Elephas maximus indicus: one gene and its partner. The protein of the gene in region 2 interacts with the protein of the main gene of each other region in a pairwise test. Links are inferred from orthologs where the notes say so. Each region holds a gene or a part of one and is shown on either strand. Other genes may lie near its edges. The genes, in order: ZNF410 and TSGA10.

Region 1 (16,694 bases), on a different chromosome or scaffold from region 2:
GGATGGAGCTGAAAAGCAGATAGACCGTGGTCAAAGAGACCAGGCCTGATGGTAGAAATTGTGTGCGTCATTCTAACTTCTATGAATGGTGACCAATTGGAGGGAGCACAGTGCTTCTCAGTTTTTTCCCTCTTTTTACTCCTTTCCCCCACCCTACCTCTTTCCAAAAGTGGGTCAAGGTCAAGGCATTTTCTACCTCCCCCAGTTAGAGCAGTACTGCTATTCTGAGCCATGTTTTCTAGGGTGGAATCACTGCCTTTTACAAGTTGGCCCAGGGAGGTTCTGTTTCTTTCATGAGGCAGAATAGTAAAAATAAAAGTCCCTGGTTATTTTTCCTTGTCGGTACTCTTCCTTCTATGTGGCAGTCAGGACTGAGTCAGGAGACCTTTACTGGCTCTGTTCCCATTTGGTAAGTTTACTTTGGCGTGGCTTTTCCTTCCTATATTTCCCTGTGTAACCTGTGTTGGTTCTAGGTCATCTCTGCCCTAGGTAAATGGTACCTCCACTGATTTCTGTTAGTATGCGAGAGTCCTACATTGGAGTTTGGGACCAAAGACTGGTTAATTATAAGAATTGTTTTGCCTTTCTTTCGTGACAGTTGCTAAGCATGTAGTATTTCCCTCTGCAAACCTCACAGGCAGGGCCTGAGGACAGGATTCAAGCAATCTCAATTTCATCAAAACTCCCATTAATGAAAATTGCTGATCGTATTTAATGTATATTTATAGTATGTTTATATCTATACCTTTACATTGTATGGCTGATTCTTTGTTTAACGTATGTATTTTAGACATTTGAAAACCCTCTAGTAGTGTTTTCTGGTCTGTGGGACATACCCGTTAGTAGGTTATGAGATCTGTTTAGTGAGTTTTTTCATTTAAAAAAAAAAGTGAAAAAAATCAGAGTGCATGTGATTAATTAAAGGTTAATATTGTTTCATGAAAATGTTTCAGTTATTTGTGTGTGGGGGGTGAGTTGTTCTTTCCTTCTCTGGATTATGGTGTAAAATGTATTTCTTACTGTGGATTGTAGTAAAAAAAAAAAAAAAAGAAAAAGAAAAAACCACTTTATTTAAGAAACTTGAACTCAGTAATACAAAGCAGAGTTCTTAAACAGCCTCTTGTGGTATATTAAACATTTGGCAGCTTTATTTGTTTCTTAAGTACTTTTATGCAGAACTTTGTTTCTGAAGAATTCTGTATTTCTGTTGACTGATACAAAGAGCCCTGGTGGTACAGTGGTTAAGCACTTGGCTGCTAACCGATAGATTAGCAGGTCAAACCCACCAGCCACTCCATGGGAAGAAGGTGTGGTAGTCTGCATCCATAAAGATTATAGCCTTGGAAACCCCATTGAGCAGTTCTACTCTGTCCTCCAGAGTCACCATGAGCCAGAATTGACTCAACAGCAATGGGCTGGATCATTGACTGATTCATAAATAATACTAGGAAAGTTCCATTTTATTTTGCATTCCAAATGAGTGTCTTAGGGCTGAGAAAATGAAACCTTACCCAGGTTTCAACAAACAAGTGAAAGAATTAAGATTTCTAGCTTTAGAGACCTTGGATTTTTTTTTCTTTAAGAGATTATCTTCTTTAATTGACTAGTTCAGCTACTTAGTGTATATGCATAATTTGCACGATGTTGACTGTACTGTAGAAAAAGAATGCAGCTTATCAAACTTCGGTTCCCAGGGTTTCTTTTTCTTCGGCTAATAACAGAAGGAGAGTTGTTCTCAGAATGGACCTGATCACAGACATCTCTGGTGTCCTAAAGTAGTAGCTTGTAATGAGGCCAGTTCTCTCATTACTTACTTATTCCCAGAACTTTTCAAGGGTTCTTGTGTTCTTTGCTTTGGTTTGTATTGTCTGCATTCTTTTTAACCCCTAGGCTGTCTATGGAATAATATATTCAATAATAGCAATGGTAGGATTAGTGGATTTTTTTTAATGCATATGATAGACCAAGGTTATTTTTTTAACCAGTATAATATGCATTGTTAACCCAAAGGGAACCATGTTTACTTACTAAAATTTAGGTTATCAAGATTGTGTCAGTTGTTGCCAAGGGTATGGAGTGAAAAGGCTCTGAGCAATACTACTTAGACTGTTCTCTGAGGTCAGTTTGTTTTATTGTGAACTCTTTATCCTTAGCCAGGATTCCGTATTTATGATTTGTGGAAAATATGATTTGATGGGACTGGCCTCATGGTTGCTGATGGTTAAATGTCATTGTCTCTTTTATTATTTATGCAGCTAAATTAATAATTTCTCTGTTTAAAAGGAAATAAGGATATAAAGCTTTGCCTGCCCACCAGCTAAAGATAAAAATAAAAATGAACAAATATTGCTGTCCACTTTAAAGGACTTTAGATGATGTAGGTGACTGTTCTGTACATCGCACTTCTAATCTCTTTTTTAAATTAATAGGATAAGAAATCCTGGGAAGAAAGTTCCTCTGAGACCCATAATTATCTTGAAAATAGTTTACCTTTGAGTAGGAACAGTGTCTCACGTCAATGTCATGTAAATTGTATTTAAAGAAAAAAATTGCATTGGATCCCCCCAATACTGGCAAATTATTTTTATTATAATTACTTTTTAAATATATTTAAACACAAAGGTAGGTATTCCTTATTGCTCCTTAATGCCGAGCCGCTATAGCTCTTAATCAACTATGCAATCAAAACAAATTTACAAATAATTCAGTAATAGGAGTGGCAGGGTCAGTTGATAGCTATTATTTTTTAAATGTAATATATGCTAGACCAAGATTGTTTTCCTAAAATACTTTGATGCACATAGGGTACCAGGAGCATGGTAAAAAAAAAAAAAAAAAAAAAACCCAAACCCGTTGCCGTCAAGTTGATTCTGACTCATAATGACCCTACAGGACAGAGATAGAACTGCCCTGTAGGGTTTCCAGGGAGCATCTGGTGAATTGAAACTGCTGACCTTTTGGTTAGCAGCTGATCTTCTAACCACTGAGCTAATAGGGCTCTAGGAGCATAGTCAAATTTACCATATCAGGGTCTTGTCAGTGGTTGCCATGGATTTGTATACATAGAAGTGAGGGTGCAGGTGTGAACAGCACCATAAAGCAGGAAAATTCAAGCTAACATTCATATACACCTACTCCTCACTAATTGGCATGGTTAGGTTCCAAAGACCAGGTTGTTATGTGAAAATCAGCATTATGCAAAGGTGAAGGATTTTTTTTCCTGTTTTCAGACTATCGATTTTTCTGATTTTTTTAGAGAATATAATCATAGAAGTAATAACAGCTAATATTACCGATGTGCTCATCACTGTGATGAGTCCAGTTATGGCTTATTCCTCTGCAGAGAAGGAGGTTTGGGGGAAACAAAGCTGGATAAAGCTGGGCTGTGTGACTGGAGGGCCAGGCTTAACCACTTCACCTTCCTCCTTTGTTGGGTCAGAGCTCCTCAAGGAGCTGCCTCCAGGGCTCCACTCCCACCCCTGCAAACCTTGTGTTTAGGAACCTGGAGCCGCCTCTGTTCTCCTGGCCTGGTGGGTCACTGAGGCGCAAGGTCACTGAGGCTCGAGGCTTCCTGCAGGGCTGGACTGGGAACCTTGCCACGCATTGGGCACCACCCAGGTAGAGGCTTCAGGCCCAGTTCAGCTCATTTTGGGATGTCATTAAACTAGCACTTATTTATTCCAAACACCCTCTCCGATGCTTTTCTTTCCTCCCTTCTCACCCCACAGCAATTTTAAGCTGCGGGGTCTCAGGCTGCAGAGGAGTTGGGAACCCAGAACAGGTCCCTGCTGGCTTGGTGCTGCCTGTACCTCCAAAGCAGCAGGAGGGAGCAGAGAGCATGGGGCAGCATGACCCAGCTTCCTGGAGGCAACTGAGAGACCTTCCTTGAGGCAGAGGACTCCCCGAAGCTGTAGCCCCCATACCCACCTGCCTCGTTAGTTTGCAAGATAGTCAGATTTTTACTGTTGACATAAATGCGAGATGATAATGAGTTGATAAGTGAGTAGATGTAGTGATAGAAATGTTGTTTTCCTGAAATGAAGTAGTTAATAGTACAGTTAATAGTGGAAAAATTTAGCCTTAGTGTTCAGTAATATATTTCATCAGTTTCTATATTTTAACTTTGGTAATATTAAAACAGAGAATTCTGTGCTATTGTTGGGTGCCGTCAAGTTGATTCGGACTCATAGTGACCCCATGTGACAGAGGAGAACTGCCCTCATAGGGTTTTTTTCTAGGCTATCATTTTTACGAGAGCAGATCGCCAGGTCTTTCTGTTGCAGAGCTGCTGGGTGGGTTCAAGCCTCCAACCTTTTGGATAGCAGCGAGTGCTTAACTGTTGTACCACTAGCACCTTTCAAAGAATATTATATAAGGTAGTATTTATAAGTGAGGCATTGGTGGTTCAGTGGTAGAGTTCTTGCCTTCCATGTGGAAAATCCATGTCTGATTTCTGGCCAGTGCACCTCATGTGCAGCCACCATCCGTCAGGGGAGGCTTGCGTGTTGCTTTGATGCTGAACAGGTTTCACTGGAGCGTCCAGACTAAGATGGGCCAAGAAAGTCCTGGTGATCTACTTCACAAAACCAGACAATGAAAATCCTGTGGATCACAACAGTCCAATCAGCAGCCAGTCATGGGGATGGTGCAGGACTGGGAAGTGTTTCATTCCATTGTGCATGGAGTTGCCATGAGTCTGGGCAGCTAACAGCAGTATTTATTAATGTCAAGGTATTGTTTAGCAGTTAGTATGATCAGAACTCATATTTAAGCAAGACTGACGATGAGCTATTCTTGAATGTCAGTTTTAATGAGGTGTTTGATAACTTTGTAGAGTTGCCTCGTTCACGTGATGCATTGCAGGCATAAAGGCAAATCACAGAATGGGAGAAAAGTTTTGCAAATCGTTTATCTGATATGGGACTTGTATCTAGAATATATAAAGACCTTCTTCAACTTAATAATAAAAAAAAGCTCAGTTATGAAATGGATCAAGCATTTGATTAGGCATTTCTCCAGAGAAGATAATCGTATGGCCAATAAGCACATAAAAAATCCTCAGCATTATTAGCCATCAGGGAAACGCAAATCAACACCACAATGAGATAGCACTCCACACCCACTAGGATAACTCTCTCAAAAACACAGATAATAACAAGTGTTTCTGAGGATATAGAGAAATTGGGACCTTCATATACTGGTGGTGGGATTGTAAAATGGTGTAGCTGTTTTGGAAAACAGTTTGGTATTTTCTCAAAAGGTTAAACACAGAGTCACCCTACGAAACCAAACCAAACCCATTGCTGTCGAGTTGATTCTGACTCATAGCGACCCTATATGACCCAGCAATTCCATTCCTAGATATATGTACCCAGAAGAGATGAAAACATATGTCCACACAAAAACTTGTACATGAGTATTCATAGCAGCATTATTCATAATAGCCAAGACACAAAAGCAACCCAAATGGCTATCAACTGATGAGTGGATAAATAAAACGTGCTATGTCTATACAATAGGGTATTATTGGACAACAAAAAGAAATAAAGCACTGATACATGCTATAACATGGATGAACCTTGAAAACATTACATATGCTAAGTGAAAGCAGCCAGGCACAAAAGGCCACTTATTATATAATCTCCTTTATATGAAGAGTCCAGAATAGGCAAATCCATAGACACAGAAAGTAATTTAGTAGTTGCCTAGGCCTGATGAATGGAGGAGAGATTGAGTGCGAGTGGGCAGTGACTGCTAATGGGTATGGGATTTCCTTTTGAGGTGATGAAAATGTTCTGAAATTGATTGTGGCTGTGGTTGCACAACTTTGAATATACTAAAAACAATTTAATTTTACTCCTTAAATGGATGAATTGTATGGTATGTGAATTATATCTCAGCAACACTGCTACTAAAAAAGATTTGCATTTCAGAGTTTTTGGTATCTGTTAAATTGGGAATCGAATTGCACATTTGCCATTACTGTTCCAGCCAATGTACATAGCAAGTTGTTGTCTCAAAGATGAGATAGATCCACGTAGTATACTTGGTGTGGTACGAGAGTGCTCCAGTACCGGTTGCTCCAGTACGGGTTCTTCTGAGTTCAGCCTGCGTAGTCAGCTGCACCCCACTCTTCTCTGATTTGTTCATACAGCACACATACAAACCAAAAACTTGAGCACCGAAAACATACATTGGTACTCAGTTGCAATAGTAGATTCCCAGTTTTTCCAGAAAATGTTTAAGCCATTTTTTAAAAAGATGTCATTGAAATGAAAACACTAACATAAAAAAATGTAGATAACTGTGGAACCCTGAGAAATGGTGATGAATCTAGAGGTAGCTCTTAAAACTATAAGAGAAGTGGTAGCTCCCTACCTCTGTTGAAGTTGAGTATCACCGATTTGCAAAGTGGTGGTAGATCTAATATGTCCGGTTTTTCCCTTACTCATTGCACATATTCATATATTTCACTTTTTGTTAGATAAGGATAACAAACCTATCCCTGGAGATAATGCTGTCAGTTTCCAAGAAACTTAACAAATATTACCAATACCAGTTGCCCTTGAGTCTGTTCCAATTCATGGTGGCCCCATGCATGTCAGAGTAGAACTATGCTCCATGGGTTCTCAATGACTGATTTTTCAGAAGTAATCACCAGGCCTTTTCTTCTGAGGTGTCTATGGGTGGACTTGAACTGCCAACCTTTACATTAGCAACTAAGCCTATTAAGCATTTGTGCCATCCAAGAACTCCTAACAAATAAAAAGGATGGTAAATGGTTGCCTAGTTTTTTAGATATTTTATAATTCTGGAATCTCGAAGTTGGAGGAACCTTCAGGATGACCTGAATAAACATTTGGTAATTTCTTGGTTTGTTGAGGTAAGCTGGAGTTGAGGAAGAAGGATTCTTAGTACCTAGAGATTCAAGATCAAACCTAAAGACATATAGTCATATTCATGCCAACTAGAAATTGGACTTACTGTATGGGTGGAGTAGTTCAGAAGTCTCAGCCACAAGTTTTATTTTATTGCTGGCTAATCAGTTTTTTTTTTTTTTAATGAGTTAGGAATCAGAAAAATTACCAAGTCAACTAGGGTAGGAACTAGGGTTGAGAGAAAGGACTGTATTGCCAAGATGAACCTTATTTATATCTAATTAAGGAAAAGAGTAGTGTAATACAGAAAAGAACAAAAATAAGTGTACAGCTTAATGAATTATCCCAATTACATGTTTGTATAACCACTGTCCAGGTTCGGAAATAGATACATCTTATTTTACTGATTTCCTTCTGAAAACATTTATATTTAGGGATCATTTTTTTAAGGATACTAGTAACAACACTGGATCTACAGTTTTGGAGACTTAGGAGTCCTGGCTGCAGCTTAATAACTTGGCTGAGTGATGTACTGAGCCCTGATTCCTTCCTCTGTAAAAAGAGGAATAAGCCACATAGATTTGTTGTAGGGCTTGAATAAGAAAAGTGTCTGTGAAAGGGAAAGTTAGAGATTGTGATAATTTATTTTATGTGGGAAACTTAAAAGAACACTTTTAAAATAAAAGAGCACATCTTGTAAATTGGTATTTCTTTATGATGAAAAATTGGGATTTCAGGTAGCTAGCAAGGGATGGGTGGGAGGAACCAACAGTACAGTAAACCTTTATTTATTTATTTAGAATAAGTCTTTCTTATTCTGACTTTCCATTCTACCCTGGTATTAATTGAAAACTCCCATCCTTGGTCCATTTTACACAGTGCGATTACCTGGTACATAATAGTGCTCCAAATTTTAACAGTTGTGCAAAATAAAGTCGACTCATCTGCTAAAATCTTGGGGAAAAAATTGACCTATAAGAAAGTAAGGGTTTAAATTATGAGAGGAAAACAAACAGCTGCATCAAGATCCTGAGAACACTACCTTTGGGAAATACAGTTCAAAATTTGACTGCCTGTATTTCTTTTAATGTAAGTTTTTTAAAATGATGAAAACAGTATAGCTACCTTTTAGACAATTTGGGAGATAGAGAAAATAAAAATAAATGATACTAGCCTACCAGCTGATAGAACTACTGTCATTGCTGTGTGAGTTTCCTTTGAATTTTTTCTCTGCATATATTAAGAGGTTTTAAAAATAGCAAATGTATAATTTTATATTTTATTTTTGTAATTTAACACGTCATAAGGAGCCCTGGTGGCGCAGTGGTTAAGTGCTCAGCTGCTAACCAAAAGGTCAGCAGTTCGAACCCACCAGCCGCTCTGCAGAGAAAGATACAGCTTCTGTAAAGAAGCCTCCTTTAAAAATTACATCGTTGGAATTCTATGGGACAGTTCTACTCTGCCCTGTGGGGTTGCTGTGAGTTGATACTGACTCTACAGCAACAGATTTTTATTTTTTTAACATGTCATAAGCATTTTTTTTTGTTTCATCATCTTCATGACCATATTTTTAAGTAACAATGCAGTAATTTAATCACTTCCTAATTAATGGATATATATGTGTATTTGTATGTTGCTTCCGGTTGTTTATTTTCTCAGATGATAAGATGAACATCCTTGGGCATACAGCTTTTTCCATATTCAGGACCTCTTAGAATGGATTATTAGAAGTAGAAATGCTGAATCAAAGCATAACGTTTTTATGGGCTTTGAAACCTCTTGGACTTGTTCTGTTGTAACATGTTTTGGGCTGAGTTCTTCATTTGCTTGTTTATTTTGATATTTGGATATACCTGTGAAGAAGTGTCTGTCTTTGGCCTTTTTAGATATATTTTCCACTGCTCTTAACTCTCTTCCTCTTCCCCTCTCCCCCATTTTAGGCTGAATTGATGTTCTGCCTAGCACAGCATCTAACTGCAGGAGCATAGCATTTTCTAAAGAAATATGAGCATAACAGGAAGGTGTCATTGACTCTGAATTAAATTTGAACCTGTCCCCTGAATAGCTACAGGATTTGGAAGCTGAATCAATGTTATCAGATGAGTTAGAATCCAAACCAGAGGTGAGCCCAGTCGTCCTTTTATTTTGATAGGCTGTATTCCAAAGTTTATCCTTGGTTGCTGGGGTCAGTAAACTTTTTCTGTAATGGGGAAGATAGTAAATATTTTAAGCTTTGTGGGCCATACAGTTTTGGTCATAGCTACTCAACTCTCCTGTTGCAGTGCGAAAGCAGTCATACACACTAATGAGCGTGGCTGTATTCCAATACAAAGTTTATTTACAACACTGATGGTGAACTGGATTTGGCCCAAGGGCCATAGTTTGCCAACTCTTGCCTTAGTTTATTATTTTTCCATTACTAAGTACTTTCAAAGATTTAAAAGTACTGTTTTTATCTTTTATGACTTTTTATATTTGTTATTAAGTGTAAAATTATTATAATCAAGATATTATAAAATGAAATTTATATATGTGTGTGTGTATTCATTTTTCTCACTTTAATGTTAGTGCATCTCTGATGCATAATGGAAAGGTTGCTGAATGTAGAATTAGATTACTTAAGTTGGAAGACTGGTATTGATCTTAACTAGCCATGTGAATTTAGACAAATCACTCAATGTCTTCAACTTGATTTGTCATCTGAAAAATACATGTTTAGTCTTACTGGGTTGCAGTGAGGATTATATGAGCCAGTTCACAGAAGAGTGCTTTGTAAAATGTAATCAATATAATACAGTTGAAATTTTTTAATAGCCATCATTTAAAAATGTAATTATTTTTATCATTTCTCTGATGAGAGGTGACAGAGGTTAACATAATTATAAAATTCAGCCTTTCTCCAGAACAGAGGACTTGATAAATAACTTTAAATATTATGTTATAGTTACTTTAGTTTTTCTATGAATAAAGGCCTAGATTAGTGAACAGTCAAGACTTAATTACTACATTTTATGCAAATAACGTGCAGATTATGCCAGAACGGTTTTAATTTCATCATTTCTGTGTGTGGTATGTGTGGCTGGGTTGTTTGCAAAAATATGGTATATCACTTTTTGGTAAAGTCAAAGGCTTAGATCCATACCCGACAACCTGTATTTCTCAGTGTTGCCTTTTTTTACCCCTCTTTAGCTCCTGGTACAGTTTGTTCAGAATACCTCTATCCCATTGGGACAGGGACTAGTGGAATCAGAAACTAAAGACATTACTTGCTTGTCCCTCCTTCCGGTGACTGAGGCCTCAGAATGCAGCCGGCTAATGTTACCAGGTAAAAACTGAGATCACTAGAGATAGGATAATGGAGTCCTAAGAGCTTAGCCTACTGTATGGTACCAGTGGAGTGGGAGAACTGACTTTATAACTGACTGGTGGAGATTGTAAAAATTGGGCGTCATGGAGAAAAAAGCAATCATGGGAGTTATAAATGCATTGGTAGTTTAAGCCATGGGAATGTATGTGATCACCCCCGGAGTGTGAGAGTGAGAAGAAAGGAAGGCCAAGAGAAGAATGCTATAGAACTTCCTATTGAAGGTATAGAATGAGGCAGAAGAGCCTGAGAAGGAACGGCTAGGATATTAGGAAGAATATCAGCAGAGTGGAAGCATGGAACCTTAGAGAATAATTAACATGTCAGAAGCTCCTGAGAGGCCCAGTGAAATGGAACTAAAAGAAGGCCATTATTGATCTTGATAGGAGCTGTTCCATTGAGTGAAGGGAGTAGAAAGCCAGGGTGCAGTGGGTTGGGGTATTAATACAATATATTCCACTCAATGTAAGTATAGTTGAAGAGCTAACTATACTTTCTAAAGGCTCTCCTGTGACAGGAAGGAAAAGAGAGGCATGTAAGGTAAAGGGAAGAATTTTGTTTTTGTTTTAGATGAGAGGTATTTTTATGCTAAAAGAAAAACACCAATTTATAGAGAAGCTGCAGACAGAAGGAGAGAGTGGATTATGGGTGACAAGGTCAGGAGCAGTAAAAAGAAGTAGAATGCTGAGTATAGGTAGTGAGATTAGCTTTGAATGGAAAGAGGGAGATCTCTACCATTAGAGTCATCATTGAGAAACCATCCCTCAAGGTTTTAGGGGAAGTTGTAAAGGCAATAGATATATTCCTTGCCCTTAGGAGCCTTAATAAATAATGGAGGATTTTTATCGTTTTTAAAAAGACTTCTTGAAAAGGAACTGTACATTTTTAATTAACATTCTAATGAGTCATTCATCATTTGTTCCTTTTTAAGTGAAACCCATGGTAATAGTTCTGGGCTTAGTGAAAACAGAAGGGCCAGTAGTGGGGGTTGGCTGTCTATCCACTGAGACCTATTGCACCCTATTAGCAAGGAGAACGTTATTTTTGGGTGCTATGAAGTCTTTATTTTCTGACCCTTGTTTTTAATGTTTGGAATGTTAATGTTAAATCAGGGGAGGGCCAGTATTGTTGATGATGACTTATTTTGTTTGTTATAAGTTCTACAGGTTACCATTCCCTAGTGGTGTCTTAGTTATCTAGTGCTTCTGTAGCAGAAATACCACAAGTGGATGGCTTTAACAAACAGAAGTTTATTCTCTCACAGTCTAGGAGGCTAGAAGTCTGAATTCAGGGTGCCAGTTCTAGGGGAGGGCTTTCTCTCTCTGCTGGTTCTGGGGGAAGGTCCTCATCATCCATCTTCCCCTTATGTGAGAGCTTCTCATCACAGGGACTTTAAGTCCAAAGGAAGTGCTCCACTCCCAGCTCTTCTTTCTTGGTGGCATGAAGTCCCTCTCCTCTCTGCTCGATTCTCTCTTTTATATTTCAAAAGAGATTGACTCAAGATACAACCTAATCCTGTAGATTTGAGTCCTGCCGCATTAACGTAACTGCCTCTAACCCTGCCTCATTCACATTATAGAGATTTGGATTTACAACACATAGAATAATCACATCAGATCACAAAATGGTGAACAACCAGACAATACTGGGAATCATGGCCTAGCCAAGTTGACACATATTTTGGGGGGACACGACTTAATTCATGAGAAATGATGTTCTTTTTTCTTTGATTTTTGAAGTCCCTTTAAAACCCTTTTCAGTTTTTAAAGATCCAAGAAGGCTGGATATGTCCAACGAACCAGTGTTTAAAAGATTTTCCTATCTAGTTCCTAGCTTTCCCATATCTTTCCTCTCTCAATTCCTATTTTTCTGCTTGTATGTTGGGGGTCATATTTTCCAAATCCCTCTGAATTTGCAACATGTGGCAATTTTCAAGTGTTAATAAAATTCGATCTTCATTAAGCTTGGACATGGCAGTACTGTTCCTAGGCTTCCACTTTTATTCCTATAACTTAACTTATTATCTCACTAAAAGAGGGACAAAGTTACCGCCTTTATGAAGATAAATGAAACTCCAGAAAACATTGGATGCTCCAGCACTGCAGTATGGTTTCTTCTTATATTGCAGCTGAAACCTTTGGAAATTCACCTCTTCCCATAGGACAAGCTTCTTGAGAGCAAGTCTTCTGAATGAATTCTTTAGATCCAGTGTAAACTCAAAAGTATAATGAAACATATTGGTAATTCTATAAGATTTCATTCGTTTCCAAGGCTGTGGTTTTTTTTCTATGACTCATCAGAACTGTCATATGCATCTTATAGAAAGCAAGAGGAGGAATCTACCCCCAAGGAAGATAATTTAAAATGTAGATCCTTTATAAGTTAGTGTTGACTGCATAGATGATATTTTCAAGGGAAGAGCACTTGATTTCTGACCTCAAAAAGGACAGTTCTGTAATGTAAAATAAAGTAGAATGCTGAGCATGTGGATGGTTGGTTATTAGTTACTGCCAAGTGTCAGAGGAGTCTCTTGCTCACATTTTAGCCGACTCCCTTTAGAACTTAAAGCCATCCCCCTGTTCTTGTCTAAGGCAATTTTTATATTTGTAGAATGAAAGTATTATCTGCTTCTATAAAGGTGTTAATACTAGGGGTGCTATAAGGGTATTTGGGGCTGTATATCAAAGTGGTAGGCTTTTTGGAGATAAGTGCTACATAAAGCTGTGGTGTTTTCCCTTTTCTAGATGATACTCCAAATCATACCAACTCTTCCAAGGAGGTCGCTTCCTCGGCTGTGTTGAGAAGCCTTCAGGTGAATGTGGGCCCAGACGGAGAGGAGACGAGGGCTCAGACTGTACAGAAGTCCCCGGAGTTTTTGCCAACTCCAGAGTCTCCTAGTTTGTTACAAGATCTACAGCCAAGTGATAGCACTTCTTTTATTCTTCTTAACCTAACAAGAGCAGGTATTCTTTTTCCTTCCCTGAACTCTGCTCACACTTAAGAAAAAAGTGGGAGTGTATGTATGTGTCCTGTTTTACTCAAGTTACATGGTGGAAAGAAGCTTTATTATTTTGGAGAATTTTTTTAGTCCGGTGACCAATTGAGTGTGTGGAGGGAGAGAGTGGACTCTAGGAGGACTCAATAGTCGCTTGTTTGGGAAACCAGGTGGGTAGTGGGGCTATCCACTGAGATAGTGAGCACAGGAGGAACAGGGCTTGGGGGAGGATGATTAGTCCCACTTTGTGCCTTTTGATGTTGAGATTTCTCAGGGACATTCAGGAAGAGTTGTCCTTTAGAGAGTTAGAAACAGGAATCCAGAGTTCTGGAGAGAGGTCTAGGGTGAGATACATAGCTTTGGTCCTTACCAGCATTTAGGAAGTATATGGAACAATGGGCATGGATTTGTTCACTCAGGAGGAGTCTGGAGCATCAACTAAAAAGAAAGCAAGGCTGGGACCCTGGGGGGGAAAAAAAACATTTAAGAGGGGGACAGAAGAATGGGAAGGAGCAGCTAGAGTAGGAGGAAGAGACAGGGAGAAAGTGTGAGGGAAGCCAAGGGCGGAAAAAATTTTAAGGAAGGAAAGTACTAGAATCGTGGCAAATACTACAGGATGGGCTTGTGAGACGGACTGGGAAGTGTGTGTCTGGTGACCTTAGCAAGAACAACTGTTATTGGGGTAGTAGAGGCGGAGGCCAGGGTTAAAGAGAGGAGGAAGTAAATGGAAGGTAAGAAATTGGATGCACAAGTTGGAAGGTACTCTTGTTCAAGAAACTTGACTTTGAAGGGCACAAGTGAGAAGGTAATAGCTGTAGAGGTACTTGGAGTTTTTTTTTTTTTTTTTAATAAAGTTGGGAGAGACTTCAGCTAGAACAGATTAAAGGCTGCAAGGGAAGACTGGCCAATAGAGAGGAATAGGTCACAGACAGGAGAGAGGAGATACCTGAATGTGACAGATACAGGAGAGGATAGCTGAAGAAAGAGATTGGAATACCAAAGGTAGAGATAAGCCTGATGGCCAGGAAGGAAAACTTTGCCCCTGAAACAGGAGGAGGCAAAGTAAAGACAAGCCTGTATGCTGAGGGTAGAAAGATGATGACCTAATTATCTATGAGACAGAAATTTGAGGTGAGATGAAGACCTGGAATAGCTGATTCAGGACATGGAGTGTTTCTGAGCCAAGGCAGATAAAAGGATTGCTTGATGACTTAATTTTCATATATTCTTTTGTTTCTTCCAGGTCTGGGCTCTTCAGCTGAGCACTTAGTATTTGTACAAGATGCGGCAGAGGATTCAGGGAATGACTTCCTCTCCAGTGAGAGCACAGACAGTAGCATTCCATGGTTCCTCCGGGTTCAGGAGTTGGCCCACGACAGTTTGATTGCTGCTACTCGTGCACAGCTGGCAAAGAATGCAAAAACCAGCAGCAATGGTGAGACCCTTGTCATGTTTTCCTTTCTGGTATCTTGTGCAAAGACATTTTTGACAGTGCAGTGGCTATATTTTGAGTTATTGGAAAGAGCAGAAGGCCAGGGATGTGTGTTGTTATAAGTCTTATCTAAAATGTGTGTGTGTGTGTGTGTGTGTGTGTGTGTGTGTGTGTGTGTACAGGTAAAATAACTTGGCCATGCCAGATTTGTGTGCAGAGTCAACTAACGTTCTCAATTCTTGACTTTAAATAATGTTCCTTTTAAAGGAAGAACAGTTTCTTACAGATACCCAGTGTTATCTTGAATTGTTTTTATTGTGATGTTAAGTATGTAAAAACAAAGAATTATATATAAACTTCTTATAATAGAGCTCCTTGACCTTATCAGATTAAAACAATTTTATCAGTTAATAGAAATAAAACTGCAAACGCAGTGTAAATAAAATTAAGTTACTGTGGCTGACAGTGACGTTTTGCTGAAACAAAATTGCTGCTCATAACAATTTAGTAATTCACTGTGATGACTGTAGTGCTGTTGCTTTGGAGTTCAGTATGTCTGTACGACCTACTGTGTGCCACTTTTCTCTATTCCGCAAATTCTCAAGACGGTCCCTGGATCGATCAGCATCACTGGGAACTTGTTAGAAATGCAGATTCTCAGACCCATCGAATCAGAAACTTTGGAGGGGGGCCTAGAAGCCTCTGTTGTACTAAGCCTTTCTTGTGGTTCTGATACATGGTAAAGCTTGAAAGCCACTCCTTTATTCAAACCCCTCCTAAACCACTGCAAAACATTTGCTTAATGTAGTATGCTTTCTGTCTTAGGACTGCCTCTGTATTTTCTCCTTAACCTGTGGCAATTAAGGTAGTACTGTATGGTTCAATGGAAACCCTGGTGGCCTAGTGGTTAAGTGCTACAGCTGCTACCAAAAGGGTCAGCAGTTCGAATCTGCCAGGCGCTCCTTGGAAACTATGGGGCAGTTCTACTCTGTCCTATAGGGTCGCTAGGAGTCGGAATCGACGCGACGGCACTGGGTTTGGGTGTTTTTGGTATGGTTCGATACTGTTGTTACCACAGACCAAGCTTAAGCACTGAAACCTCACGGCAGTACACAGCTGTGTAGAGGTGACGCAGGTGATCTAGGATATGCTTTTGATTATTTTTTGATTACTGTTCAGATGGAAACAAAAACCTTAAAAATTTCTGACAGAGAACTCAGGATCCCTGTGAATATTTCAGAATAACCCAGTTTAAGAAATATGAACCTCATTCTTTTCTCGAAAGCTTTAATTCTATTAATTTTCAAAATAATTAGTTCTGTTTGTGACTACTGTAGAGCTGCTTAGAATGGCTCATTTTACCACTTTAGGATTCTTCCGGAGATGCTTTCGCCAGTATTTGACTTCTGGAACCTTTGGCATCTCCATGTTAACACTGAGGAAGTAGTGCCAGATTTGACGATGAGAAGCAGTGTAGGGAGGGAGCTTGAATCTGGGGATCTAGGATCCAGGCCTGGTGCCATCATTTGCTAGGTTTCTGCCTTGGGCTTTTTGCTTCAGTTCTCTTATGTTTAGAACCTAGAGATCAGGTAGCTTAGCTGACTGGGTTAGTTGTTAGGGAGATTAAATAAGATTCTATCTGGGAAGTTGGGAAATGCTTTATAATCAGCAAAACATTGTGTGGATGTTTCTCTTACTCCCATAGTATGTCATCTTACCACCTTACAACCTCGTGTTTATGTGAGCCCAAATATAAGACAGTCTTCCATTTTCCCAGTGAGATGATTCACTAAAAATCCTTTTTTGCTAACTTAAATATATAAACCTTTAGGCATGTAGATAAAATATAAGTTGTTATTTGAAAATTATATCATTTTGGTTACACATACACATTTTAATCATGTTATATGAAATAGTTTAATATTGTTTTTTTCCCTACTAACATGTAATGATGTTATTTTATAACATGTAATGATGTTATGATGTTATTTTAACATGTAACAAAATTATTTTATTCCGTACTTT
Region 2 (16,966 bases):
TGTTAAGTCTTCCTATCCATGAGCAAGGTATGTCTTTCCACTTAAGTAGGTCCTTTTTAGTTTCTTGTAGTAGTACTTTGTGGTTTTCCTTGTATAGGTCTTTTACATCTTTGGTAAGATTTATTCCCAAATATTTTATCTTCTTGGGGGCTACTGTGAATTGTACTGATTTTGTGATTTCCTCTTCAATGTTCTTTCTGTCGATGGAGAGGAATTCAAGTGATTTTTGTATGTTTATCTTATAACCTGAGACTCTGCCAAACTCTTCTATTAGTTTCAGTAGTTTTCTGGAGGATTCCTTTGGGTTTTCTGTGTATAAGATCATGTCAACTGCAAATAGAGAAAATTTTACTTCCTCCTTGCCAGTCCCGATGCCCTTTATTTCTTTGTCTAGCCTAATTGCTCTGGCTAGGACCTCTAGCACAATGTTGAATAAGAGTGGTGAAAAAGGGCATCCTCGTCTGGTTCCCGTTCTCAAGGGAAATGCTTTCAGGTTCTCTCCATTTAGAGTGATATTGGCTGTTGCTTTGTATAGATGCCCTTTATCATGTTGAGGAATTTTCCTTCAATTCCTATTTTGCTGAGAGTTTTTATCATAAATGAGTGTTGGACTTTGTCAAATGCCTTTTCTGCATCAATTGATAAGATCATATGGTTTTTGTCTTTTGTTTAACTTATATGGTGGATTACATTAATAATGTAATCCACCATATAATTAATGGTTTTTCTGATATTAAACCAGCCTTGCATACCTGGTATAAATCCCACTTGGTCATGGTGGATTATTTTTTTGATATGTTGTTGAATTCTATTGGCTAGAATTTTGTTGAGGATTTTTGCATCTATGTTCATGAGGGATATAGGTCTATAATTTTCTTTTTTTGTAATGTCTTTACCTGGTTTTGGTATCAGGGAAATGGTGGCTTCATAGAATGAGTTAGGTAGTATTCCATCATTTTCTATGCTTTGAAATACCTTTAGTAGTAGTGGTGTTAACTCTTCTCTGAAAGTTTGGTAGAACTCTGCAGTGAAGCCGTCTGGGCCAGGGCTTTTTTTTGTTGGGAGTTTTTTGATTACCGTTTCAATCTCTTTTTTTGTTATGGGTCTATTTAGTTGTTCTACTTCTCATTGTGTTAGTTTAGGTAGGTAGTGTTTTTCCAGGAATTCATCCATTTCTTCTAGGTTTGCAAATTTGTTAGAGTACAATTTTTCATAATAATCTGATATGATTCTTTTAATTTCAGTTGGGTTTGCTGTGATGTGGCCCATCTCGTTTCTTATTTGGGTTATTTCCTTTCCTGTATTTCTTTAGTCAGTCTGGCCAATGGTTTATCAATTTTGTTAATATTCTGAAAGAACCAGCTTTTGGCTTTGTTAATTCTTTCAATTGTTTTTCTGTTCTCTAATTCATTTAGTTCAGCTCTAATTTTTATTATTTGTTTTCTTCTGGTGCCTGATGGATTCTTTTGTTGCTCACTTTATCTATTTGTTCAAGTTGTAGGGACAGTTCTCTGATTTTGGCTCTTTCTTCTTTTTGTATGTGTGCATTTATCGATATAAATTGGCCTCTGAGCACTGCCTTTGCTGTGTCCCAGAGGTTTTGAAAGGAAGTATTTTCAGTCTCGTTGCATTCTATGAATTTCCTTATTCCCCCCTTAATGTCTATAACCCAATCTTTTTTCAGCAGGGTATTGTTCAGTTTCCAAGTATTTGATTTCTTTTCCCTAATTTTTCTGTTATTGATTTCCACTTTTATGGCCTTGTGGTCTGAGAAGATGCTTCGTAATATTTTGATGTTTTGGATTCTGCAAAGGTTTGTTTTATAACCTAATATGTGGTCTATTCTAGAGAACGTTCCATGTGCACTAGGAAAAAAAGTATACTTTGCAGCAGTTGGGTGGAGAGTTCTGTATAAGTCAATGAGGTCAAGTTGGTTGATTGTTGTAAGTAGGTCTTCCGTGTCTCTATTGAGCTTCTTACTGGACGTCCAGTCCTTCTCCGAAAGTGGTGTGTTGAAGTCTCCTACTATAATTGTGGAGGTGTCTATCTCACTTTTCAGTTCTGTTAAAATTTGTTTGATGTATCTTGCAGCCCTGTCATTGGGTGCGTAAATATTTAATATGGTTATATCTTCCTGGTCAATTGTCCCTTTTATCATTATGTAGTGTTCTTCTTTATCCTTTGTGGTGGATTTAACTTTAAAGTCTATTTTGTCAGAAATTAATATTGTTACTCCTGCTCTTTTTTGCTTATTGTTTCCTTGATATATTTTTTTCCATCCTTTGAGTTTTAGTTTGTTTGTCTCTCTAAGTCTAAGGTGTGTCTCTTGTAGGCAGCATATAGACGGATTGTGTTTCTTTATCCAGTCTGAGACTCTCTGTCTCTTCATTGGTGCATTTAGTCCATTTACATTCAGCGTAATTATAGAGAAGTATGTTTAGTGTTGTCATTTTGATGCCTTTTTATGTGTGTTGTTGACAATTTCATTTTTCCACTTACTTTTTTGTGCTGAGACGTTTTTCTTTGTAAATTGTGTGTTCCTCATTTTCATATAGTATTTGACTTTGTTTGCTGAGTTGTTACATCTTTCTTGGTTTTTATTTTGAGTTATGGAGTTGTTATACCTCTTTGCGGTTACCTTAATATTTACCCCCATTTTTCTAAGTAAAAACCTAACTTGTATTGTCCTGTATCGCCTTGTATCCCTCTCCATATGGCAGTTCTATGCCACCTGTATTTAGTTCCTCTTTTTGATTATTGTGATCTTTTACATATTGACTTCAATGATTCCGTTTTGAGCATTTTTCTTTTTAATTAATCTTGTTTTTGTGATTTCCCTATTTGAATTGATATCAGGATGTTCTGTTTTGTGACCCTGTGTTGCGCTGGTGTCTGATATTATTGGTTTTCTGACCAATTTACTTTGGTATTTCTTGTAGCTTTGGTTTGGTTTTTGCAAATTCTCTAAGCTTGTGTTTATCTGTAAATATCTTAATTTCGCCTTCATATTTCAGAGAGAGTTTTGCTGGATATATGATCCTCAGCTGGCAGTTTTTCTCCTTCAGTGCTCTGTATATGTCATCCCATTGCCTTCTTGCCTGCATGGTTTCTGCTGAGTAGTCTGAACTTATCCTTATTGATTCTCCCTTGTAGGAGACCTTTCTTTTATCCCTGGCTGCTTTTAAAATTTTCTCTTTATCTTTGGTTTTGGCAAGTTTGATGATAATATGTCTTGGTGTTTTTCTTTTTGGATCAATCTTAAATGGGGTTCGATGAGCATCTTGGATAGATATCCTTTCGTCTTTCATGACGTCAGGGAAGTTTTCTGTCAGCAGATCTTCAACTATTTTCTCTCTGTTTTCTGTCCTCCCTCCCTGTTCTGGGACTCCAATCACATGCAAGTTATCCTTCTTGATAGAGTCTCACATGATTCTTAGAGTTTCTTCATTTTTTTAAATCCTTTTATCTGATTTTTTTTTTCAGCTATGTTGGTGTTAATTCCCTGGTCCTCCAGATTTCCCACTCTGCATTCTAACTGCTCGAGTCTGCTCCTCTGACTTCCTACAGAGTTGTCTAATTCTGTAATTTTATTGTTAATCTTTTGGATTTCTGAATGCTCTCTATGGATTCTTGCAACTTATTAATTTTTCGACTATGTTCTTGAATAATCTTTTTGAGTTCTTCAACTGCTTTTTCAGTGTGTTCCTTGGCTTTTTCTGCAGATTGCCTTATTTCATTTCTGAGGTCATCGCTGATGTCTTGAAGCATTCTGTAAATTTGTTTTTTATATTCTGTATCTGATAATTCCAGGATTGTACCTTCATTTGGGAAAGATTTTGATTCTTTAGTTTCGGGGGTTGTAGAAGCAGTCATGGTCTGCTTCTTTATATGGTTTGATATCAACTGCTGTCTCCGAGCCATCACTAAGATACTGTAGTGATTTATTCTATATTTGCTCACTGAGTCTTATCTTGTTTTGTTCTCTTTCAATATACGTAGATGGGCTACTAGATTGCGCTGTCTTGACTGTTGTAGCCCTTGACTTACTTATGACCTATTACCAGCTGGTTTGGGCTGTTACCAGATATATAAGCCTAAGAGTCCATTCACTATTCTTGAGTAAAATCTGATTTTGGGTCATCAAGTGTGTGATGCACACTGTCACCTATCCACTTTGAGAAGTAGTGGTGATAGTTGTGTGCACCAGATTCTAGTAGCAGCTGGGGTTCACACTCCGGGGCAGAGCAGGATGCTGACAGGCTTCCCCCAAGTGTCAGTGAGGTAGGTGTGTCTCTATTCCTAAAGCACCTTGGTGGGTGGGCTCTGCAGCTGTACCTTAGGCCCCCAATGCAAGTACCTCTACAGATTGGAAGGTGTCACCCTCCTTAGACCCCTAAGGCAGGAGGCTAGGTGGTCAGAGGGGAGCTTCAGCCCTCAGTTCCCTGTTGTGGGTCAGTGAGGGCTCTGTTGAATACGCAGAGATATCAGATCTGGGAAACTTGTCTTTCCAGTAATCAGCTAAAACAAATGCAGTCAGATCCCTGTCAAAAATGCCTTTGCAGTATAATAGCCACCTTGTTCCCTGTAGGGATGAAATCCCGAGACTGTGGATCACATATGCTTGGCTGGAGCTGGTTCTGTGTTTTTAGTCCAATTAGGGAAGGATTTTTCATCCCTGGGTTTTTTGTGGTTGCTTCTCTCAGGCCAGAAGAATGGGTTAGGAAAGACCGAAAAAAAAAGGAAAAGAAAAACCGCAGAGCAGTTCTCCCTCTGGCTCAGGAAACTGCAACGTTAATGAAGCCACCTGGGAAAGGGAGGGGAGGGTTCAGATAAACAGGAGAGAGTAGCACCCTGGAATACAAACAAAGTTACTTATCTTGCTTGGGATGACTGTTTTATCTGAGATTCCCAAGGGGCTCCTGTGTGCACTGGCTGGGTAGAGATTGCCCCCGAGGGTCAGGCCCGCGTCCTGTGCTTGCGCTGTCTCAGAAGCCACGGTCAGTTCCTCCGCTGCCAGTCCAAAGCCCAGCGTCAAGGTTCCTCGGCTGGGACTCTGCACTCCCATCTCCAAAAACAGTCGCTGCCTCCCGGGGACTTCTCCTCCCGCCAGGTGCATCACCGCACCTCCTGTACGGACCAGCTGGGCCCCGTCCCGAGGTCAGTTCAGGGGGATGGGGCTGCGCCCCGTGTTTGCGCCGTCACAGGATGCTGTGCTCAGCTCCCTTGCGCCCAGTCCAAAGCCCCACGCCAAGGTTTCCTGACTGGGACGCTGGCTCCAGGCTCCGAAAACTGTCGCTGCTTCCCCGTAGTTGTTCGTTCTCGGTCTCTGTCACTCAGGTCAAGTCTTTAAATCTGTGTTTGTTGGTCAGGGTTCGTAGATGGTCATGTATGTGATCAATTCACTTGTTTTCCCGAGTCTTTGTTGCAAGAGCGATCCAAGGTAGCGTCTACCTAGCAAGCCATCTTGGCCCCCCTCCTCAACTATCTGGAAACAACTTTTAAACCCTGATCCCATGAATCTTTAAACAAGTTTAGCTCAATTAATAAAGAATGTTTGCCTTGAGCATTGTGCTTTTAAAATATGATCTATATGAGATCAAATTCACAACTATAACTCTAAAGCGCAGATGAGAACTTTAAGGGGCAGAGAGTCTAAGTTAACAGTGGTGAAACGATACGGGCAAAGAGACCGAGGATGATGACACGGTGTGGAGTATGCAACCACTGTCACTGAATTGTACATGTAAAAACTGTTGAACTGGGTATATATTCTGTTATACATATTTTCATCAGAAATTTTTTTTTTAATTTAGAAGAGCTAATCAATGAATGAGAGTAAAGAAAAGGAAATGGAAAATGTAAACTACTTTTAGAAAGCATGGTTGTGAGAGGAAGGGAGGCAGCTAAAGTTGGAGGAAGACCATGGTTGTGGAAGGGTCATTACAAAAGAAGACAAACATGTTCCTTAATTCTCTTTGTGTTAAGAACCCCTTTCTGAATTGAACAAAACCCCCAGATCTTGCCTTCAAGAAAATGCAAATACACACAAAACTTTACCATTTAAGGTATTCAAAAACTCCCTATAAGAAGTGCTGGTGGGACAGCCGCTAAGTGCTTGGTTGCTGACAGAAAGGTCTGCTAACTGAATAGTCAGCGGTTTGAACCCATCCAGCGGCCCTATGGCAGCAAAGACCTGGTGATCTACTCTTGTAAAGATTACAGCTTAGGGAACCCTATGGGGCAGTCCTACTCTGTCATATAGGGTCGCTATGAGTAGGAATCGACTAGACAGCACACAACAGCTCCCTAAACACCTTGGACACCAGGTTAAGAAACCCACCAGTGCAGAAACAAAGATTTCTTAAGACATACCTTAATGTGAATTAATGGAGAAAAAAACCCTGAGGTAATAAGAGGAAACACAAGGAAAGGATATGCATTGTACTCTGAGACAAAAGAGAGAAAAGCAAGAATAGGCAAGAAGGGGCAGACATTTGAAGGAGTTCCTGCCCAGTTGAGTCTTATTTTTTCAGTGAAATAGGAGATAAGGTCATGTGCAAAAAAGTATCAGTGTTGACCAAAGTATCTGACACATAATATGTGCTCAACAAATGTCTATTGAATTTTTGGTAGAATAATGAAAAACAGTGGTGTACTTTATATGGGATTCTGAAATCTGGCTCCACAAAAGGTCAACAAGGATGGACTTTTTGCTTTCTCTTTTAAAATTGTCTTCATATGGAAGGCTCATAGCAGTTTTGCTCATAATTGCCATGACTGTAAAAACCTGACTGTCTACCAGCAGTAGATAAATTGTGGTTTACTCTTACAATGGAACACTTACCAACAAACGACAAGCAACAGCAAGGGTAAATCTTAACACACAATGTTAAGTAAAGAAGCACAATGAAAAGACTTAGTACAATTCCAGATACATAAAGTTCAAAAACAAGCCTAACCACAGTGTGCATGTTCACAAAGGTGGTAAAGCTATCAGGAAAACCATAGAAGTCAGAATAGTGCCTACCTCTGGGGAGGACGCTGTGTGATGGGAAAAGGAGGTGGATAATAACACCTGCCCTAACTGCCTCTGTATATGGAAAGCTTTAAAATCTAATGACCCTAAAACATACTTGTCTCAAGTATTTAAACTGAATAAGACCACACAGGAAGAAAGCCCAGAGAATCTCTTCCCCGATTATATACTGGGCTATCAGCAGTGTTTTTTTTCAGAACGTAAATTTAAAAAAAAATGTATTTTAGATGCTGTCGTTAAATAATACTAAAGTTTAGGGTTTAAAATAAATATTTCATTAATGGGCCTTCCTAGTTATTTCCCACTAAGAGAGAAGGCGACAGGAACCAGTTTCATACTGGAGACAGGTCTGGAAGCTGTGTCACCTTACTTTTACATGTATAACTAATCTATTTTATTCCAGTTACAAATCCATTGGTATCCTACTTATTTCATTAGGGAAAACCAAGTGTACTTGAAACGCTGAAAACCAGCAGAGGAAACTAAAAACAGTATCCTAGGATACCAAGGCCTGGTGTGGAAGAAGGCAAACACCGGGGAACGCTCTGCTCTAAGCAAACTTATCCTGAAGCCTTGATTCTTGGCTTTATTTAAAGAAAAAAAAAGTATTCGTATGCGTTTTTAGGTATCAGGTCCATGACCACCGAACACGTATCCGATTCGGTTTTAAATACTTTTTTAAAGAACAGGCGGTTTACGCAGCCTGTCCTGTGCAGTATACTTCCTTCCGCGCCTGGCCTCCCCACGTCGGTGAAGCCACAGGCTGGGAGTCAGCAAGAGCCGGGCCGGGCTCCCGAACACCCTGCTCCACGCTCTCGGCTCCACGGCACAGCGCCTCTGGCCCAGCGGGCCCCAACAGCTGCGGCGGGACGCGACGCGGTCTCCATAGGAACTGGGCCCGGCCCCACGCCCCCGGGAGACCGCGACGGGGCAGAGCCGGCCGTGGGTCCCCGGCCGGCCGCCCTCCTGGGGGTCTCCCCCCCGGAGCCGCCTCCCCCCCCCGGGGGCCTCCCCCCTCCGGAGCCACCTCCCCCTCCCCCAGGAGCGGCCTCCCCCGGGCCGGCGAGGCCCGCGGCTTCCACCTGGCGCTCCGGCTCCCTGGCCGGCGTTCCGGGCCCGCCGTCCTCCCCGGCGCTCATCCCCGCGACTGTCCGGCCGGGGCCTCCGCCGGGCGCCCGAGACCCGGCCCGCCTCCATACCCCGCCCCGTCCCCGCCCCTCCGGCCCCAAATCCGCCGGGTGCCGAGTGCCGGGTGCCGGCCGCAGGAGGCGGGGCGGTTAGCGCCGCCTCGGCCCCGCCCCACGCCCTGTACCTCAGGGGGCTCGTCCTCCGCCTCCGGGTGCCTCCACGCCGCTTCCGTGCCGCGCGGCCCCGCCCCCCGCGCACGCGTACCAGGCTCAACACGCCCCCTCGCGGGAACCACAAGCCGTGCGCGCGCCCGCGCACGCAGCGACGCGTATCACCCCCTGCTGCCTGTCCGGGCGCCGAGAGGCCGCTTCCTGGTCCTCCGCGCCGCGCAGGCGCATGCCCACGCCCCGCCTAGGCGCCCCGCCTGCGCGGCCCCGCTCTCCCGCGCACGCGTACCAGGCTCAACACGCTCTCTCGCGGGAACCACTAGCTGTGCGCGCGCCCGCGCACGCAGCGACGCGTATCACCCCCTGCTGCCTGTCCGGGCGCCGAGGAGAGGCCGCTTCCTGGTCCTCCGCGCCGCGCAGGCGCACGCCCACGCCGCGCCTAGACGCCCCGCCCGCGCGTCCCGTCTCCTAGTAACCGGCCTCGAGCCCCTTTTCCACGAGGTGCTTCTCGTTCTCTGCCAGCTGCTCCCGCACCTGGATAGAACGCGCATGCGCAGGGCTGGAGCTCCGCTGTTGGGAGCATCGGCTGTTTTGTGGCCACAGCTTTGGGCCGCTTGCACCGGCGAGCAGGCGCGGGTCTGGGCTCACGTTCAGTGGACCGGCCAGTTCTCAGAGCTGCCCGTGGGCTCCGGGAGGTTGGTGCGTTCTCCTGCCGCAGCCAGGCGCCTGTTTGGGGGGAGCCTCCCAGCTCGGGGCCTCCTGCTTGCAGCGCTCCGGGAGAGGGCAGGCCCGTCCCGGTGGAGGGGACCCCTTGCAGTCTAGGGAGCCTGCGGACCCACGGCCGGGCCAACCCTGCAGCATCAACTCGGGGTTGAATCGACAAGGGGCAGGGCTAGCAGTGAAAGATTCCTGCGCGGTAGTCCTGCAGCACCTGCCAGTCCTCTGACTCCCCGTTGCAGAAAAACTGGTGACGATTAACGAAAAGGATAGGTATACAGCCACACTTGGTATTTCTAGTTCGTCGATTGTCGTCCTGTTTAATGTCACTTAAACGTGTCTTCTGAAACTGGGGCAGTTCTGCTCTGTCCTATAGGGTCGCTATGACTCGGAATCGACTCGATGGCACTGGGTTTGGTTTTATCCGGTTTTCTCTCAACTGGGAGCTTTCAGTCTGGGAATAGTCACTTCACCCGGCGTAATATTATTTTTGGCCATCCAGCTACGTTAAAATTAACTATATTACCTTAAGGTAGAGAGGTGAGCTTTTTAGTGAAAAAGAATGAGCATTGCATTATATTGCCAATGTTTTGGAATCCAGCTTAAAAAGTATTCTTAACTTTTCTTAGTGTTGAACATGTCCCATCTGTTTAAGCAACCCAAGAGCTTCTGAACTGTAATGGTGACTTCATCTCCCATCTTTTCCTGCAGATGAAAGAGACACTGGATTTTTACAGGAGTCCTCTGATGATGTAGTATAAGCCTGTGCGTTGCAAAAATAGGCGCACGTTAGAAGAGACTAACAGTTCCTGTCTTTGCCAGGTGAGTAATTTTTTTCCAAAACATATTATTGGTAGGCAATTTTTATGTTAGAACTAATTTCGTCATAAGGTACATTTGAACATAAGTGCCATATGCATTGCCAGTCTCTGTTCTGATTTTTTCGTTATTTGTGCCATTACATTTTCTCATATTTTGTAGCATTTATTTTCAGATACCATGCAGTTTGTATTAAATGCTAGCTACTAGAAAATTTAATTGAGTGCCTTTGTTATTTTAGATAAAGAGGTCAGAGTCCCAAGGAACATACTTCCTCTGAAATACAATTACATCTAATTAATAAAATGTGCCATCAAAGAACAGGCTCTCAAAGACTCTCATGAAACGTTATCTTAGGGGGAATACTGTATAATCTCTTATTTCCTCTTCAGGTACTAGGATTATTTTGAATAAAAGGTCCTCAATATTTAGCATTATTGAAATAGGAAAGAATGTACTAACTTTAAAACTATCAGTTGGAGTTGAAGACTTGGAGTGGTATTAATTTAGGAAGCAGGAAAGTACTTCTCTTCCGGGAAGAATAACAAAAGTTTAAGTGTTTATGTATGCCACTGGATGGTACTGAAGATTCCTTGGAAAGAATGTAGGGAGGAGATCATTTTAAGGCCAAAACAGGGTGTACAGATTCCTTTTTTTTTTTTTTTCCCCTTATCAAGGACTATTAAATCTCCTTCTGTAACCCAAAAAAAGTGAAAAATTTCTTCCCTTTATGGAAACCCAAGGAGTGGTGAATGCCCCTAGCAACTAAACCTCATTTGGTAGTTCAGCTCTCTCCCTTCTGACAGACACGCCTCATCAACCTTAGAGGTTGGGGTTGTCTATTCCCTCACTCTTTCTGTCATTTCACAAACTTCACTACAAAAACCTGTTTTACCTCCTTTTTTTTTTCTCTTTTTTCCTGTCTCCCTGTTGTCCCTCCCCCCCCCCAAAGAAAAGTCTGGGACTCCAGTTACATGCGTGTTAAGCTACTTGACCATTGTCCCACAGCTCACTGAAAAACCTGTTACCGTCGAGTGGATTCCAGCTCATAGTGACCCTATAGGACAGAGTAGAACTGACCCATAGGTTTTCCAAGGAGCATCTGGTGGATTCGAACGCTGACCTTTTGATTAGTAGCTGTAGCACTTAACCACTGTGCCACCAGGGTTTCCCACAGCTCACTGGTGCCCTATTTATTTCTTTCAATTGAATGCTAACTGGATGTTACTGCTATTTTTTCAAGTTCACTATTCTTTCCTTTGGCACTGTTAATCCCATCCACTGTATTTTGCATCTCTAGAATTTTGATTTTTTTTAATATCTTCTATTTCTCAACCTAATCATATTCATGCTTTACTCTCTACTTTGTTGGAGATATGAAATACATTTAAAATAGCTGTTTTAAGATTCTTGTATGCTAATTCTATCATCTGTGTCATTTCTGGATTTATTTCTATTAACTGACTCCCCCCGCCCCCCCAGTTAGGGGTGGTGTTTTCCTGCCAGGTAGTTTTTGATTGCTTATTGCAATTTTTACATTGTTGGGTGTTGGAGTTTTTATTATTTTTTTGTTTGTTTTTTTCTTCAAGTATATAGGGTCACTATGAGTCAGAATCCACTCTATAGCACTGGGTTTGGTTTTGGGTTTATATTTGGGCATGTTCTGAGATGCAGTAAGATTACTTGGAAACAGTTTGGTACATGAGAGCTATGCGGTCAAAAATAGTAGCCACCAGTTACATGTGGAGGTCAGAACTCCAAAACGAGGTAGGCTGGGCTAAAACAGGAGCTCTGGGTGGCACAGTGGTTCAGAGTTTGGCTGCTAGGCAGCAGATCTGGTTTTTGGGTTTGGTTGGGCTAAAATAAAAGTTATATCAGGGCTGCATTCCTTCTGGGGACTCAGAGCGGATCTGTGCCAGCTTCTACAGGTCATCTGCATTCCTTGGCTTGTGGTCCCTTTCTACCTTCAGAGCCAGCAATGGCCAGACAAGTCTTTCTCACATTATGTCACTCTAACACTTGCACTCCTGCCTACCTCTTTCACTTGGGTCTTTGTGATTACATTGGAACCACTCAGTCCAGGATAATCTCCTTAATTTTACCTGAACCTTTTAATCCCCCTTGCCAAGTGCAAAATGGTCGGAGTAGTAATAGAGTCAGAACCTATCTAACTTAAAGGCAGGGGATGAGGGATAATGAGAATCACCGTCAGCACAAAACTGATTCCGATGAAGTAGAAGTCAAACATACCTCCACTCTCAACATTTTTATCAAATCTGTCACCAGCCGTTCCTCCCACAGCACTCTCTACTTCTGGGTTCAATAATCCATTGCAATGGACACACAGGACTCACAGACCATACTTACAGTTCAGTGGTTTATTGAGGAACAGGGTACAACTCAGGATCAGGATCAAAAGTCTACAACACAGCATCAGGAAGCAGGTAGGCAAAGTCTCCCTTCAGTGCAAACCTCTCTCTCTCTCTCTCCCTCTCTCTCTTTCTCAGGACAGTTTCCTCTTGGCCCTGCTGTCTGTTGCTGCCAGCTCTGCCACTGGACCCCTTCTGGGCCTCTCGGTGTCTTCAGTGTTACAACCTTTGACCCGTGTTACAGTTCTTTTAGAAGGTTCCTTGCCACCTCTCTGTTTCTGCTTCTTCTCTCTTTTCTTTCTTCCTTCTGCTTCCATTCCTGTTTCTTTCTATCTGACAAACTTCTGTGGGGTTTTTTGGCTGCTTATATACACAAACTGCCCAAACTCTCAAACTTCAATTTCAGGGCATGGCACTCCCACCAGGGCCACAAACAGACCAATCCCCTCTTGGGAGGCCACAGACACTTCATTTGCATAGTAGGCTACAAACACTTAATTTGCATAGCCTATTGACCAATCCAGTCCCTGCAAGGTGCATACCAGTCCCAGGGCAAGCTGCAGCCCAGAAGCAGACAAAAAGTATCAAACCATAAGTTGTTTACAGTTACCCAGAAAATGTTATTCAACCTGGACAAGAGTAACAAACCTTCTAGGGTAGAAAACTGGGGTAAAGTTGTCTCCTTAGGGCTTAGGGGAAAAAAAATCTCTGAAGCTGTTTTCCAAAGAACCAGAGTGAAAGGTCACATAAAGGAACTCATTTCACCACACTAAGTAACACAGCATACTCAGAAATTCTGAGGATTAAGATGTGGACACCTGCTTTGGGGGCTGTCTTAATTATCCAGTGGTGCTACAACAGCAGTATCACAGGAGGATGGCTTTAACAAAGAGAAAGTATTCTCTCACAGTCTGGGAGGCTGGAAGTCCGAGTACAGGGCGCCAGCCCAGGGGAAGCCTTTCTCTCTCTGTTGGCTCTGGAGGAGGGTCCTTGTCGTCAGTCTTCTCCTAGTCTAGGAGCTTCTCTGCAAAGGGACCTTGGGTCCAAAGGACATGCTTGCTCCTGGTTCTGTCTTGGTGGTAGGAGGTCCCCATCTTCTCTGCTCCATTCTCTCTCTTGTATCTCAAAAGAGATTGACTCAACATACAGCCTAATCCTATAGATTTTCCTGCCTCATTAACATAACTGTCTGTAAACCTACCTCATTAACATAACTGCCTCTAATCCTGCCTCATCAACATCATAGAGATTACAATTTACAGCACATAGGAAAATCACATCAGATCATAAAATGGTAGACAACCACACAATACTGGGAATCATGGCCTAGCCAAGTTGATAAACATTTTGTGGGGACACAATTCAATCCATAACGGGCCATTATTCTGCCTACCACAGCTGGGGATTAAAACAAACCCAAACTCATTGCCGTCAAGTCGATTCAGACTCACAGCGACCCTATACGACAGGGTAGAACTGCTCCATAGGGTTTCCAAGGAGCACCTGGTAGATTCAAACTGTCAGGCTTTTGGTTAGCAGCCGAGCTCTTAACCACTATGCCATGTCACCAGGGTTTCCTCCTGGGGATGAGATATGTAGAAAATCTAGGTTTTACTCAGAGATTGGCAACAACTACAGCGTGTTGATCAGATTTGGAGTGCTGTGATTTGGCTTGTGTTTTAAAAGGCTCATTCCTGATACTGTTTGAAGAATGTACAATGGGGAGGGATGGGCAGGGGTGGAAGTAGAAACAGATTCACTGAAGGATTGGATGTGGAATAGAAGGTAAAGAAGGGCGTTAATAATGATTCCACCAACAGTGTATAAGGTTTCCTGTCAACCTGCATTCTCCTTGTACTCGGTACTATCCACCTTCTAAAGTTTATCATTCTGGTTCTTCTAAACTTGATGTCTCTAGTTACTAGTAAGTATGAACAGCTCTTTGTGTACTTATCTATATGGGATTCCCCAACCTGCGAATTACGTCTTTATATTCTTTGCCCGTTTTTCTATTGGGTTTCCTTTTTCTTGTTGATTTATAGGAGTTCCTTTCATATTCTAGTGATGAAATCCCCTGTCAGTTTTGCACATAGCAAATACCTTCTTCCAGTCCCTTTTCCATCTTTTTAACTCTCTTTACTGAATAGATGTTCCTAATGTTGAATAGTCAAGGCCATCTGTTTTCCCCCCTTATTATTTAAGCTTTTTAGGTTTTATTCAAGACATTCTTCTCCACTCCAAGGTGATAAATATATTGGCCTACCTTTTCTTCTATTGGTTTTATAGTCCTGTGGTCACATTTAGGTTTTTAATGCATTCGGAGTGTATTTTTGTATGTAAGATAGGGGTCCTGCTTTATTTTTCATCCACATAGTGAGTCAACATTAATTATCTTATCATACTAAACATAGTTTGTTCCATCCTCTTTGCTTTATAAAGTTAAACCCATTGCTTCTGAGTCAATTCCAACTCATAGTGACCCTGTAGAACAGAGTAGAACTTCCTCATAAGGTTTCCAAGGCTGTAGTTTTTATGGGAGCAGACTGCCACACCTTTCTCCCATGGAGCAGCTGGTGAGTTCGAACTGCTGACCTTCAGTTAACAGCAAGGCTCTCTAACCACTGCTCCACAGGACTCATCCGTCTGCCTTATAGTGCTTCCTTTATCATATGTGAAGTTCTTACACATACTTAGGTCCATTTTGCAGCTTTGGTATATTCCGTTGGTCATTTATTTGTTCCTGTACCTGTAGTAGATTGTTTTTGTAGCATGTCTTAATATTTGGTAAGGCAAGTCTCTTTGTTCTTTTTTGTCCAAATTGATTTAGCTCTTTATGGACCTTTATTCTTCTATAAGCATTTGATATTTCTTCTTGAATACCAACCTGAATGCCAGACCAAAAAAAAAGAGGCCCCCAAATAGACTTGCTCTCTTCGTGTCCACAAGACCCTGGGGGAACTTAAGGTGAGATTTATAGAGCCAAATGTATCCTATTGCATTTAATTTCTTCTCACTCCCTTTTTTTGAATGATGTGTTAATTAGTTTATAATTATGTGTTATCATTATATTACTTTTGTTGACTTCAAATGTAGTATGTTGTCTTATAGAGTATTGTTGACTTTTATACTTTTTTAAAATTTAGTATTTTGTAAAAGTTTAAACATACAGAAATGTTACAAGAATGATAAATTGAACAATTATTTTTTACCTCCTAGATTCAACACATGTTTACATTTTGCATACCTTATTTTCTATAACTGAACAGTGAGAGCAAGCTGTAGATCTGATCCTTCACCTCTGTTCTAGTATGTACCTCCTAAGAACAAGGATATTCCCTTACATAACCAGAATACACTTATTAAATTCAGGGAATTTAACCCTGATGCAACATGATTATCTAACAAACCATCCACATTCAAATTTCTCCAGTTGTCCAAGGAGTGTTCCATATATTACCTTTTTTTTTTTTCTTTTCCAATTTAGGATCATTCACCGCATTTGGAAGTCCCCTCAGCCTCCTCTTACCTAGAACACGTTCTCAGCCTCTTTTTGTCTTTCTGACACTGGTGTTTTGAGGAGTACAGGCCATTTGTTTTGTATCTTTTTGTCTTTCTGACACTGGTGTTTTGAGGAGTACAGGCCATTTGTTTTGTAGCATGTCTTTTGGTTTCAGTCTCTGTTTCCTCATTTTGGAATTCAATTTACACATTTTTGGGAGGAGTATTTCCTCTTTAATTAATTAAAGAGGAGAAACCATAGACCAGAAGGCACCCACTTTTATTAATTTGAAGGTAGTGTTGGATATTTATTTGATGAGGAAAAAAAAAAAAAAACACTTTTGAGTCCAAATCTAAGAAACAGGTATACCTACATTTAGAATTCCATCAGAACTCTTTAAAAACGTAGCTACATTGTACTTGTAGCTAGAGAGCCAAATCCATACTCTTTTATCTAACTGATACAGCAACAACACTTGAATAACTTCCGTATTTAGAATACAATAGTCGGCCCAGGACTGTTCTGTTACAGGTTAGGCACAGACATTAAGTCACAAATATGGATGAACAGATCTCCAAATATCTTTAGAAATTTTCAGTCAGTAAATGACTAAAACTTGATGGAGACTGAATTGTAAACTGTCAAAAGATACCACACTGCTTAAATATTGAAGACGAGATTATAAAGGTAGGTTAATACTTTCACAGCTGTGACATCCGCTCCAGATGTCACATTGAGCATCTTTGGGAGATCGCTATTCTCCAGCAAACGCTGGTGATTCTGCAGTCTTCGCTGTCTTCCCTGTGCCAGAAAGCCTGTCCCCTGTGCCATCCTGGCCAACTCTGCTTACCAGTTCCTACACATCTTTCACCGCCCAGCCCTGGCCAAAGCCCCCTTCATTTGGGAAACTTCCCAGGCTCTCCCTCCATGTTGCATGCTTATCTCTCTTAACAGATTGGGCAACCTTAATAATGAATAAGTATATGGACCTTGGTGGATGGAGTACTTAGGAATCAAATCAACTACTCCATGGAAGGAAACAAAGGAGTAGTGCCAGATGATCAGTCAAAACAAAACCAGGTGCCAAATGTGGAACTGACCATCAGTTACTCACGTGCAAGTTCAAGATGAGGTTGAAGAAAATCAAAGCAAGTCCATGAGGGTCAACGTATAACCTTGAATACATCCAGCCTGAATTTAGAGACAATCTCAAGAACAGGTTTCAAGAACC

What was found.
Region 1: the proteins of TSGA10 (region 2) and ZNF410 interact in binary tests that used the Homo sapiens proteins (3 or more experiments, as listed by UniProt). The two-hybrid records come from large-scale screens. The link is inferred for Elephas maximus indicus from reciprocal best matches to the Homo sapiens genes TSGA10 and ZNF410.

What each region holds. Positions count from the first base shown.
Region 1 is NC_064828.1:86,617,184-86,633,877, forward strand, and holds the start of ZNF410 (zinc finger protein 410), read left to right. Parts: upstream 1-8,909; 5' UTR 8,910-8,967; coding exon 8,968-9,000; intron 9,001-10,067; coding exon 10,068-10,203; intron 10,204-12,986; coding exon 12,987-13,205; intron 13,206-14,480; coding exon 14,481-14,672; intron 14,673-16,694. UniProt on the Homo sapiens protein: Transcription factor that binds to the sequence motif 5'-CATCCCATAATA-3', and is specifically required to silence expression of fetal hemoglobin in adult erythroid cells.
Region 2 is NC_064835.1:86,620,668-86,637,633, reverse strand, and holds the start of TSGA10 (testis-specific gene 10 protein), read right to left. Parts: upstream 8,242-16,966; 5' UTR 8,176-8,241; coding exon 8,119-8,175; intron 1-8,118. UniProt on the Homo sapiens protein: Plays a role in spermatogenesis. When overexpressed, prevents nuclear localization of HIF1A.